3 linked regions of the Canis lupus familiaris genome follow. The protein of the gene in region 2 interacts with the protein of the main gene of each other region in a pairwise test. Links are inferred from orthologs where the notes say so. Each region holds a gene or a part of one and is shown on either strand. Other genes may lie near its edges. The genes, in order: MELTF, HPGDS and ABHD17A.

Evidence for each region.
Region 1: the proteins of HPGDS (region 2) and MELTF interact in binary tests that used the Homo sapiens proteins (3 or more experiments, as listed by UniProt). The two-hybrid records come from large-scale screens. The link is inferred for Canis lupus familiaris from reciprocal best matches to the Homo sapiens genes HPGDS and MELTF.
Region 3: the proteins of HPGDS (region 2) and ABHD17A interact in binary tests that used the Homo sapiens proteins (3 or more experiments, as listed by UniProt). The two-hybrid records come from large-scale screens. The link is inferred for Canis lupus familiaris from reciprocal best matches to the Homo sapiens genes HPGDS and ABHD17A.

The regions. Positions count from the first base shown.
Region 1 is NC_049254.1:30,703,782-30,707,858, forward strand, and holds the start of MELTF (melanotransferrin), read right to left. Parts: upstream 2,914-4,077; 5' UTR 2,879-2,913; coding exon 2,830-2,878; intron 2,106-2,829; coding exon 1,951-2,105; exon of another isoform or gene 1,946-1,950; intron 858-1,945; coding exon 758-857; intron 1-757. UniProt on the Homo sapiens protein: Involved in iron cellular uptake. Seems to be internalized and then recycled back to the cell membrane. Binds a single atom of iron per subunit. Could also bind zinc.
Region 2 is NC_049253.1:22,728,665-22,732,921, reverse strand, and holds the start of HPGDS (hematopoietic prostaglandin D synthase), read right to left. Parts: upstream 2,871-4,257; 5' UTR 2,542-2,870; intron 1-2,541. UniProt on the Homo sapiens protein: Bifunctional enzyme which catalyzes both the conversion of PGH2 to PGD2, a prostaglandin involved in smooth muscle contraction/relaxation and a potent inhibitor of platelet aggregation, and the conjugation of glutathione with a wide range of aryl halides and organic isothiocyanates.
Region 3 is NC_049241.1:57,556,316-57,559,529, reverse strand, and holds part of ABHD17A (alpha/beta hydrolase domain-containing protein 17A), read right to left. Parts: intron 2,700-3,214; 5' UTR 2,495-2,699; coding exon 2,163-2,494; intron 927-2,162; coding exon 732-926; intron 1-731. UniProt on the Homo sapiens protein: Hydrolyzes fatty acids from S-acylated cysteine residues in proteins. Has depalmitoylating activity towards NRAS. Has depalmitoylating activity towards DLG4/PSD95. May have depalmitoylating activity towards MAP6.

The sequences.
Region 1 (4,077 bases), on a different chromosome or scaffold from region 2:
TGTTTGGGGCCAGTGAGGCAGGGTGTGCTTTGGCCTTTGAGTGCAGGCGCTAGGCTGTGTCCTGAGCCATCTGAGTCACCCATTCACCAAGGGGCCAAGTGAGCGCCTGCGCGGGATACCAGGGACCTAGGGGTGTCAAAGATGAGGACCAGGCCCTCCTCGAGGGGCCCACTGTGCCAGGGACAGAGAAAACAGGACAGAAGATGGGATCCTGATAGAGTGGGTCAGAGCTCCGGGAAAACAGGAAAGAGAAGCTCTTTCGGGCCAGGGGAGGGGTCAGGGGTCACCCTTAGAGGTGACAGCGAGCCGGGCCGTGACCGGGGCTAGCCCTTGGACACGTGCAGGTCCTGGGTGAGCTTCCCAGGGGGCAGCCGGGTTAGAGCATGTGGGGGTGTGAGGCGCAGGGACTGGGGCAAAGGAACTCCCAGTCCTATGCACATACCATGCATCAGGTGCGCACCTGCTGATTCATTTAGTCTGTGGGACAGGACTGAGGCCGCTCTCCCCACTTTACAAGTTATGGGGTGATGGGATTCCCGCAAGGAAGAACGGACTCGAGTCAGCTCTCTGTGTCTCTGGCACCCCTGCTCTGAGCGGGGGGGGCTTGTGTAGGTCAGTCTGGCCTGGACCCCAGGACTGCTATGGGGACAGGGCTACCGACCGGCTTGAGGGCTGCAGGCTGTGCGGGGCCCAGCAGGGACACGCTGCGGGGACAGCCTCTTCGCCTCCCGCCCCCCAGGCCGCTTCGCCTGCTGACCTTGGTCGTACACTTCGCCCACCACGGGCTTCAGTCCGTGCTCCTTCCCGGCCTCGTAGATGGCTCCTCCGTCCAGGGTGATGGCGTCAGCCTCCTGGGCCTGCCGGGGACACGTGGTCAGGCCAGCCCGGCCGCCTGGGCCTCGCGACCAGCTGCTCGGGCCATCCGCTGGCCTGCCGGGACGTCCCTCCTGGTCCTCTGGCCCGGTCCCCTGCCCTGGCTCAGCCTGCACCCCGAGAGTAGGGGGCTCACCCTTTACCAGGTCCCAGGTGACAGCTCTCCTAGGTCAAGGCTTGCCTTGGCTTCCTAATTATGTCATTTAAAAATTATTAATTTTCTAGGGCTTCTAATGGCTTTACACACTAAGGATAAATGAATGAATAAATCAGATGGTACAAAATGGTGCATAGCGAGATGGTGAATCTCCCTCGTTTCCCTGTTTCTGAGCCCCGACTCCGCTGTTAACCCGTTTCTCAGGTTTCCTAGGACGCAGACCGAGGCCCACGGATGCCCTCCTCATTTTTTTTTTTCTCCTAAAACACAAATGGCAGGATGCTGTCAGCGTCCTGGGGTCGCCATGGCGTCTAGCTCGGGGGACCTGGCAGTGGAGCCTCACGCAAGCCCGTGGCCCGCGTGGGACCTGCACTAGGTCTGCAGAGAAGTCAGGGCCCAGTACAAGGGGACCCAGGCCCCCCGGCCGTGCCTGCCCGGAGTCGGGCCTTGAGGGCCAAGCTCGCAGGGGCGGTGCCAGCTGGGCCAGGTCGCCTGCCTGCCCCTGGCACTCCGCTCCCTGCCCCTGGCACCCCGCTCCCTGCACCCCGCACCCCGCTCCCTGCCCCTGGCACCCCGCTCCCTGCACCCCGCACCCCGCTCCCTGCACCCTGCACCCCGCTCCCTGCGCCCGGGGCTGCCACCAGCCCTCTCCTGGGAAACTGCACGAGCCCTCCTGGCGCCCCCGGGGCCCCTCCGGGGTGGGTGTGCGGCCGGTGCCAGCGTCCCCACTGTCGCAGGGGCCTCTCCTGGAGGGAGGACTGTGCCCGGGCCCCACCTGGGCGGGACCGGCTGGCCAGGAAGCCCTGGCCCCGTTGCCTGGAGACTCGGGCCACCCGGAGCCTCGCCGTGAATGGAGCCCTTGTGGTGCCCCGTCGGACCCCTCCCCCCCCCCCCCCCGGCCCAGCGGGTGGGGCGCTCACCGCGAGGAGCCGGATGCAGTGGTCGGCGGAAGGGGCCTGCACACACCCGACGGGCGGCTGGATCCCTGCGGCTCCGAAGGCCTTGCTCAGGTCGCCGCACTTGCGCTGCTCGGGGTCTGAGGTGGTGCACCAGCGCACCTGCGCCCCGCTGAGGGCTGGGGGACGGCGGGGGGGTCCAGCTGCCCTAACCTGCGCCCCGCTGAGGGCTGGGGGGACGGGGGGGGGGTCCAGCTGCCCTAACCTGCGCCCCGCTGAGGGCTGGGGGACGGCGGGGGGGGGGGGGGGGGTCCAGCTGCCCTAACCTGCGCCCCGCTGAGGGCTGGGGGACGGGGGGGGGGTCCAGCTGCCCTAACCTGCGCACCTGCGCCCCGCTGAGGGCTGGGGGACGGGGGGGGGGGGGGGGTTGCCCACTGCCCCAGCACCGCGGCCTCCCGGGTCACCCGCGGACGTGCACAGCGAGTCCGCGACCAGCCCTGCCCCTCCCCTGGGAGGTCCGCGGCCACAGGGGCGTCCCAGACCCGGGGGGGGCCGAGGGGCCGGGGGTCGGGGCCGCGCTCAGCCCAGCCCTGCTCTCTGGCCCGGGGGCACCGGCGACGGCGCGTGGGCTCCGGCCCTTCCCGCCCCTCTTGGCGCCTCTCGCCCAGGTCCCGGCTCCCTCGGGGACGCACGGCGAGGGCCCAGGAGACCGCCCTGGGGCGCCCGTCCCTCGGGGCTCCGCGGCCGCTCCCGGGCCCGCCCGCCCCGCCCCGCCTCCGCCGCTCGAAGGCGCAGGCCGCCCCCTCCGGGAAGCCCTCCAGACGCCCCCTGGGCTCCCCCAGCGCCCCCGGCTGCGCTCGGCCCCGCCCCCGCCCCTGCCCCTGCCCCGCGGCCCGGCCTCACCTGTGCGCAGCGCCAGGAGGACCCACAGGGCCCCGCTCGGGCCCCGCATGACGCCGTCGGGCTCCGCGGCCCCGCAGCCAGGCCCCCGCCCCCGCCCCGCCGCTTAAGTGCGCGCCCAGCCCCGCCCCGCCCCGCCCCGCCCCCGGGACTGGCCCCCGCCCCGCCGGCCCTGCCGTCCCCGTCCCCGTCCCCGTCCCGCCACCGGGGCTGCCCGGGTCCTGGCCCGCTGCGCCCCCTGCCGGCCGTGCCCCAGGCCGCACCCCAGGCTGACCCGGTCCCCCCCGCCCGCCGCACCGGGGCTGACCCGCGTCGTCGAGGACCCAGGAAGCTGGAGGCCGGGAGCCCGTGTGCGCGTCCCGGGGCTGCCCCGCCCCGCGGGGAGGGGGTCGAGCGGGGTCTCCGGCTGGGGACGCGGTGGCCTGGCCCGGCCCGGGGGAGCAAGCCTCCTGGGCGCCCCCACCCTGAGCGCCCCCGGCCTTCCCACGATCCGTCCAGGAGGACACACGCCGGGAGTCCAGGCAGCGGCTCGGCCACGCGGCCCCTCCCTATGCCTGGGCCCCGCCGTGACCCACCGGTGAGACCCCCCGCCCCGCTCTGCCGGGCCCTCAGCCGGGAGGGGCTGCCCATGACACACGCACCCGGGTCCTCGGCGAGACGGGGAACCCTGGCCTTGGGGCCTTGGGCCTGGGGCCTGCCACTTCGGGGGTCGGAGGAACGGTCGGGAGGCAATCGGAGCATCCGGGGCCGGTCACTCAACCCGGAAAGAGCTTCATATAGATAAATGGGCTTCATTATTCATGAGAGACCCAGGCAGGGGGAGAAGCAGGCTCCCTGCAGGGAGCCCGACGTGGGCCTCGATCCCACGACCCCGGGGTCACGCCCTGGGCCGAAGGCAGACGCTCAGCCGCTGGGCCACTCGGGGGCCCTGGAAAGAGCTTTTTTATTTTTTTAAAGATTTTATTTATTTATTCATGAGAGACACACAGAGAGAGACACAGGCAGAGACACAGGCAGAGGGAGAAGCAGGCTCCATGCAAGGAGCCTGTTGTGGGACTCGATCCCGGGTCTCCAGGATCGCATCCTGGGCTGCAGGTGGCGCTAAACCCCTGCGCCACCGGGGCTGCCCCTGGAAAGAGCTTTATAGAGGAGAAGGGCTGCAGGATAGTCTGGTCCCTTTCTGGACTCCCACTGAGGAGAGGGAGAGTGCCCCCGAGCTTCCTTCTAGAAACAAGAACTAGTTTCACGGAG
Region 2 (4,257 bases):
CATCATGCTTAACGCTTTCCTTTACAACTAAAACTAAGGACTGGCTTCCTTCCACTCTGAAGAAAGTCATTTAAAGTTTCTCATTCAAAGGGCACCAGGGTGGCTCAGTCGGTTAAACATCTACTTTCAGCTCCGGTCATTTTGGCAGGGTCCTGGGATTCACTTCCACCCCCTGCTCAGCGGAGAGTCTCTCATGTATGTACTCTCTCTCTTTCTCTCAAAAAAATAAATAAAATCTTAAAAAAAAAAAAAAAAAAAAGCATCTGCCTTTGGCTCAGGTCATGATTTCAGGATTATGGGATCAAACCCCAGGGCCTGCTCCTTCCTGCTTCCTGCTTCCTTTCTCCTTCTCCCTCTGCCCCTCCCTCCTCATCATGCACTCTCTCTCTCTCTCTCTCTCTCTCTGTCTCTCTCAAATAAATTAAAAATCTTTTAAAAAAAATAAGGTTCCTGATTCACCAGCTAAATAAAAAAACCCACTGAGAATTGTGTTTGAAAAATAAGATACACAGTTTCCCAAAGAACATACAAATGAGGATTCATAAAACCCCTGGATAGACACTTTCATCTCTGAACTCGGATGGAGCCGTTAAATACAAAAGATGATTTAGCTTTTACTATATGCTAACCTTATTTAGAAAGTAAATCTTTCGGAATGCCTGGGTGGCTCAGTGGTTGAGCATCTGCCTTTGGTTCAGGTTGTGATCTCAGGGTCCTGGGATCGAGTCCCTCTTCAAGCTCCCCACAGGGAGCCTGCTTCTCCCTCTGCTTATGTCTCTACCTCTCGCTGTGTGCCTCTCATGAATAAATAAGTAAAATCTTAAAAATAAAGTAAGTCTTTTACACGGGAAATAATAGGTTTGAAAAGTTCTGTCTTGGAGGCCTCCTTTCTCCTGACTTGCAGCTCTTTTTATTTTATGTAACCCTGGTACTTCTCAACTGATTAACAACCACAAAACACAGGAGCATTCAATCCCAGAGGCAATTTTAATACAGTCATTGATAAAAAAAAAAAAGCTATAATAAAACCATTTCGTCTTAGCTGAGCTAATATTCTAATCTGTATGTTGCTGTAAGAGCACAGTAAAACATAATATCAAAAATGCTAGTGTCTATGCCAGAAAGGAGCTAACCATCCAAACTCAATTCTGGCAAAGGAGGCTAATATTCATTTACTATGTTATACACCTTCAAAATTTCAACAGATAACTGAAAAAGGAATTGCATTTTGGGAGTAATTTTGATGGATAGAAAATGTTCAAATAAGGAATTAAATATTAACCATTTTACAATTTGCTTAAAAACCCTAACACTATCTTTATTTTACTCCTAAAAATGTTCATCTATGTGAGCCCTTACTCTTAAATTAAAGGAGCATCAAACATACTCGAGAATTTCAGATACAGTTTTATATATGCCTAGTAGTAATACAATAACCTGTGGGTTTGAAGTATAAAAACAAAGATTACTTGTGAATTTGCTGATAGCACTTTGCTATATCTCAACTTGACCAGTATTTAAACTATACAAGATGTACCAGCAGAGTACAATGTTTGTACTCCCATTATATAGACTGTAGTGTTTTGAAATGTAAAAATTGGATTTAAAGAGCAATCACACAAGATGCTGTTGTCTACATAAGAAGTTGTTATGACATTATGACATTAAATGACAGCATTGCATTACTCGCTAACAGTTGGTGGTAAAGAATGTTGATTTCCCTCCTTCACAGGGTCCCTGAGCATGTCTAGTTTGGTTCTGGAAAAGTTGCCAGGTTGGAGTAAGTTGTGGACAATAAAGAAACATAAGCATTTTTGTTACCTGAGTAAAATACTGATTTCAGTCAAACCCTGAATGTTTCATTTTACATTGGCAAGCCAGGATCTCTCTTTTCCCATCAAAAACCAACTAAATATCATTTTAAATGCTTGCCTCAAAGAGGAATAACAGAAATATCCTTTGGGAGCTGTGAGCTCAGATTCTTAGCCTGTGGTAAATGCCTCCAATTACCTTTGAAACCAAATGATGATAGAATACAATTCTTGGCAAAACATGGAGACGCTTCAACAAAATGAGCCTTAAAGTGGTAGAAAATATTAGAAAGAAAATTCCTTAGCAGAAAAAGAGAAATAAAAGAAAGAGGAAAGGAAGGAAGGAAGGAAGGAAGGAAGGAAGGAAGGAAGGAAGGAAGGAAGAAAGAAAGAAAAAAAAAGAAAGAAAGAAAGAAAGAAAGAAAGAAAGAAAGAAAGAGAAAGAAAGAAAGAAGAAAGAAAAGAAAGAAAGAAAGAAAGAAAGAAAGAAAGAAAGAAAGAAAGAAAGAAAGAAAGAAAGAAAGAAAGAAAGAAAGAAAGAAAGACTATTGTATGATTTCTACTTGGCCACTAACAAAGAGGCTCTGAATGAGACCCGAATGAGTGGCATGGTGAAATTATGTCATCAGTTGCTCAGTCACATGTAAAATATGACAGTAATAAAAATAAACACTAAGATGAAGAAAGAACACTATCTCATTTCTTATCTTTGTAAAGTCTTTTCACTTACTTGTGCTGTCTCCGTGGAGTCTCTAGTATCTTCTGTGCTCTCAGAAGTGACTACATCTTGGGTTTATATGATGAGTAAGTGACCGCCACAAGCCAATGAGAGATGAAGTGACTTACTTCCACCTAAGTCTCTTTCTTCATTTCTTAGATGAAATATGCCTGCCAAACAGTCCAATCCTGCAGAGACTTCTGGTTATTCTTGGCATTTTATAGGATCTCTGTGTGTAAATAACCTAACCTATTTGCATTCAGTTAGTAAAATCAAAGTTACAGGTGCTGATGTGTGCCTATTGCTACGTGCTCATTTCTGTTTAAAACCTTACACCATAGGCTCCTGGGGAATGAAAGAGAGTGAACACAAACAAGCCTTGTTTTCAGATATGCACGTGGCTGGCTTCCTCAATTCATTAGGTCTCCTTGGAGAATGTTTGGCTGACCATGTTCTCACTGGAACCCTCCTCCAATCTCCTTCACCTGCTGTGTGTTTCTTCATTATCGTGTCTGACAGCATAGTGTATATTCTTGGTTGGTTTTCACCCTCCCCCAGCAGAAGGTGAGCTCTGTCCGGGCAGGTACTTCATTATTCAGTTTACCCTGGTGCCCTCATTATGGAAAGGAATGCCAGGTACACCATAAGCGCTAATAGTATTTTTGCTGAATGAATGATCTCAATTTATATTTCCCCACAAATCACATTTTTACGAGGACTTCTTAAGTTCTCATTACTGCTAGAATATTTCACTTACCTTCTTTTTCTCAGAAGAGCCATACTGTTGAAAGTAAACCTGGGAAGAGGGTTGCCTGGGTGGCTCAGTCAGTGAAGCGTCTACCTTTGGCTCAGGTCGTGATCCCAGGGTCCGGGATCCTGAGCTGAAGGCATCAGGCACTGTGCCTCAGGCACTGTGCTCAGTGAGGAGTCTGCTTCTTCTTCTCCCTCTGCCCCCTCCCTGCTTGTGTGCACACGCGTTCTCTATCAAATGAATAAATTAAAAAATTAAATTAAAAAAATAATTAAATTTAAAATAAATTAAAAAAAATAAAGTAAACCTGGAGTGGAAGGTTCTAACATCCCTTGTTGATAATTCTTACATAGATTAGTAACAAATGCCTAATTGTTTTAGAAATTTATTTTTTTTCACTCCAATTAATTCCAGCTATAATATTGGGACAGTTCAGTGAAACGATCCAGCGAAATACCTGCTTGTGCATTACTGGACCTACAGATCACTAAAACATTTTAATGACAGGCTGGCTTTCAACTTCCAGATAATTACACTCACAAACAGTTATAGAAACCTATCAATCATGTAATAGTTCCCATTTATAACTGCTTTAAACTTTCAAAAATATGTTTATGTCCATTGATTGTAAGCATAAGAAATGAAAAACTATATAAATATTTTTTTGGTCTGTGAAAAGTTTAATTAGGCTACAAATACAGCTCCTTAGTCACCAAAAAAAAAAAAAAAAAGAAAAAAGTATGTAAGTCAAAATTAAGTGCAAAAAAAAAAAAAAAGGAACTATACAAAATTAGCATATTGTATTTATTATCTTTCACTGAGTTTTAACTTACATTTAAAAAAATCTTTTGCGGGGGGATCCCTGGGTGGCGCAGCGGTTTAGCTTTTGGCCCAGGGCACGATCCTGGAGACCCGGGATCGAATCCCACGTTGGGCTCCCGGTGCATGGAGCCTGCTTCTCCCTCTGCCTGTGTCTC
Region 3 (3,214 bases), on a different chromosome or scaffold from region 2:
AGGCACGGGTGGGGCAGGTCAGCCAGGCAGGGCTGAGATGGGGCAGCCCCAAGGAGGCAGTGGGCAGGGCCCCACTACTTCCAGGAGGGTCAGAGTCAGGGTGGCCTCCTTCCAAAGGATTCTCTGGGCTCAGACGCCAAGTTAGTACGCTTCAGTGAATAAGCAATAAGGTGGGGAGGGGGCTGCCCAGGAACTGGATGAGGAGCATGATGGGGGCTCCAGGGAGGGAGGTGGGCCCAGACCCTGGTGGCCCTAAGGCAAGCACACAGGTATGTCCTGGGGACCCTAACCCAAAGAGGACCTAGCCTCTGCTCCTAGCCTCCCACTGGCCCCAAGGCTGTGCTAGACACCAAGCTTCCTGACAGAGCCCTCTAGAACCTTCCAGAATCCTCCAGGGCCCAAAGGAGCCCTACCTCAAGAGGAGACCACAGTGAGTGGCTACTCATGCCTCGCAGGCCAGCTCTGAGACTATGACAAAGCAGCCCCACTCTACCGTGCACACCAAATGCTCCCTCGCTGCCGAGACTCTCAGAGTCTTTTTACACAGTCCGCATCCTCCAACCACCCACCTCCAGACAGAACCTCTACTCCCCTAGGGACAGCCCCGGCCCATCCACAGCCCTGCCAGGCAAGGGGTTCCCAGGAGGGGAGAGGTGCCTGCCCCACCCAGACGTAGCCTAGGCTTCCCCCTTGCCCCCTTGCCTTCACCCCCACCCCAACATAAAGCCCACCTGGTACGCAGCGCCTGCCAGGCAGCATCGATGTCAGCATAGAGGTTCTTCTCAGAGGGCTTGCCAGAGCTGACGCCGTAGCCAGAGTAGTCGTAGGAGAAGATGTTGCAGTTGATGCGCGTGCCCAGGCCAATGTAGAAGCTGCTCATCTGGCCCAGGTCCACCGCGTTGCCGTGGGAGAAGAGAACCGTGTACCTGGGGCAGGGACGGAGGGAGGACAGGTCAGAAAGCATGGGGATAGGACACCCCCTGGGCCCCCAACCACCACAGACAAGAATATTAATGAGGGAGACTCCCTCCTGGCTGTGAGGTCTTGGGCAGGGGACAGCAGCAGAACCTTAGATGTCCCCTCTGTGAGAGGAAGGGAACCCTGGGACCACTGGGCAGGGTCTCAGCGCAGGGTGGACCCACAGTGTGAGCTCAGCAAGCTCAGTGACCGCCACGTTCGTTCCCTCTGGGCCATGGCTGTCCTCTGGAATCACTCCTTTTAGAGGGACTCTGAGAGCTCAAGGATGGCACACACGTATGCCTGCTGCTTGGAACCTTCCAGAGAATGAGACAGCGGCTTCTCCTCTTGATAGCCAGCACCCACCCTTACCCCACAATAAGACCAATCCCTGTTCGCAGCGTCTCTTCCCACTCCTACAGACCCCAACCCTGGCACTCGTTTCTGCCCTGCAAGGCTGCTGGCAGATCAGGACCCGCCCCAGGTCACACCGACAGGCTGGATCCTGGCCAATGGACTCCAAGTGGCTTCTTCCTCCAGCACCCCTGGGCCCCAGCCTCGCTAAAAGGCAAAAACTTGCCCTTTGTACTCAGATGTGGAGTCAGAACCCTGTCTGGTCTAAAGGCAGAAACACCTAGAAGGCCCCACCTCTTTCCTGCTCTGGTGCTTAAGGGAGAGCCCCAAGGACACCCTGTTAATGAGGAGTCAGACTTGGCCCGAGCCACCTGCCAGGCCTCGGGTGCCCTGGTCCCAAAGCGAATGGCGAGGCCTCACTGAGCACCCAGCACCCAGAAGCCCTTCCCAGGGCAGGTGAGTGCGGAGACCCTGAAGCGGGCCGCACCTCAGCAGGCAGGGGTGACGGCCACTGCGATCGGCCTCCCTGAGCCTTGGCACTCATCCGTGTGACGGGGCTGCGTCTGGAAGGGCACCGGCATGAGGGGCCTGGGGCGGTCCCACGGGGCCATGGGTGGAGTGGGGCCTGCTCTTGGAGAATCTCATCAGCCACCCTCTTTGGCAAGAACCCCCAGGGTGCCTGCGCCGCCAGATGGGCCTTCACCCGGGCCCTGGCCATCTGGGAGCTGCCTCTGGCAGGAAACGAAAGGCCCGAGCATGGAGCATGTCCCGTACCGGGCACCCCCCACCCTGACTAGGTCCATCTACCCCTCCACGCGCGTCTGGGTCCTGCCCCGGTTCCGTGGGCTCACCTGGCGCCGGGCACACAGCGCACGTACATGCAGGAGATGCGGTTGCCCCGGCTGCTCTTGGTCAGGAAGACCTCGATGGTGTCCAGCTCACGCTGGCTGTACTGGAAATCAGCACGCTCCATCAGGTGCAGCTTCCAGCGCCCGGGGGTGCCAGCAGAGGCCCGCAGGGTCCCCGAAGGGGCAGCCCCAGCTCCACCAGGCCCCGGCTCGGGCTCCGGCACCAGCGAGTAGGTAGGCTCCGGCGGCAGGAAGGCGAGCTTGGCAGCAATGCGGCCGGGGCAGGGTGGGCAGCAGAAAAGGCAGCAGAGCTCGCTCACTGACAGGCCGTTCATGGCGGGCGCCAGGCCCCAGGGTGGGCCTCGCTTGGCAGGGGAGGGGTGGGGGTGCTCTGAGACGCGGGCAGGGGGGAGGGCAACCCCCAGCCACCGCCCCAGACAGGAGCCCCCTTAGGAGGCCGCAGCCCAGCCCCATCGTGGTCCAAGCCGAGCCCTCGGGAGCCTCGCAGCCTTGCATCTCCACGTCGTGCAGAGGGAAACCCTGCAGGGGAAGAGCGAGAGGTGGGGTTCCCTCGGGTTCCACGGGGAGGTCTCTTGGCCCTCCTCACGGCCCAGTCCACTCTTGCCCGAACTGCTCCCCCTCCACCCCATGGACCTGTGGGCCCAGTTCGTCATCCACAGGATGGGTCCCTCTGTGGGTGGACCCAAAGCTACCAGACCAGCACCTGCTGCACCCTCCCTCGGCGTGCGGTCACCAACTCTTGCCACGTCTGCCACCTGTCAGCCCAGCCTCGGCCTGCAGGCTGTGCTGGGCGATGAGACCCCTGGCTCACCCCAGCAATCCCCCACACAGCCCCCTGCTCTGTGCCCACACATACCCTGTCACCCTCCCCAGGCCCCTGTCCACACGGCTGGCCCAGACTCTCCCCCCAGCCCATCTCCATGCCATCTGTCTAGGATTCATCTGCCACCCCCAGGGGCCACAGAGCAGCCAAGGCCAGGACAGACTGCTGCCTGGAGGGACCTGAGCGCGCGCTCCCGGGGGCCAGCGCTGCA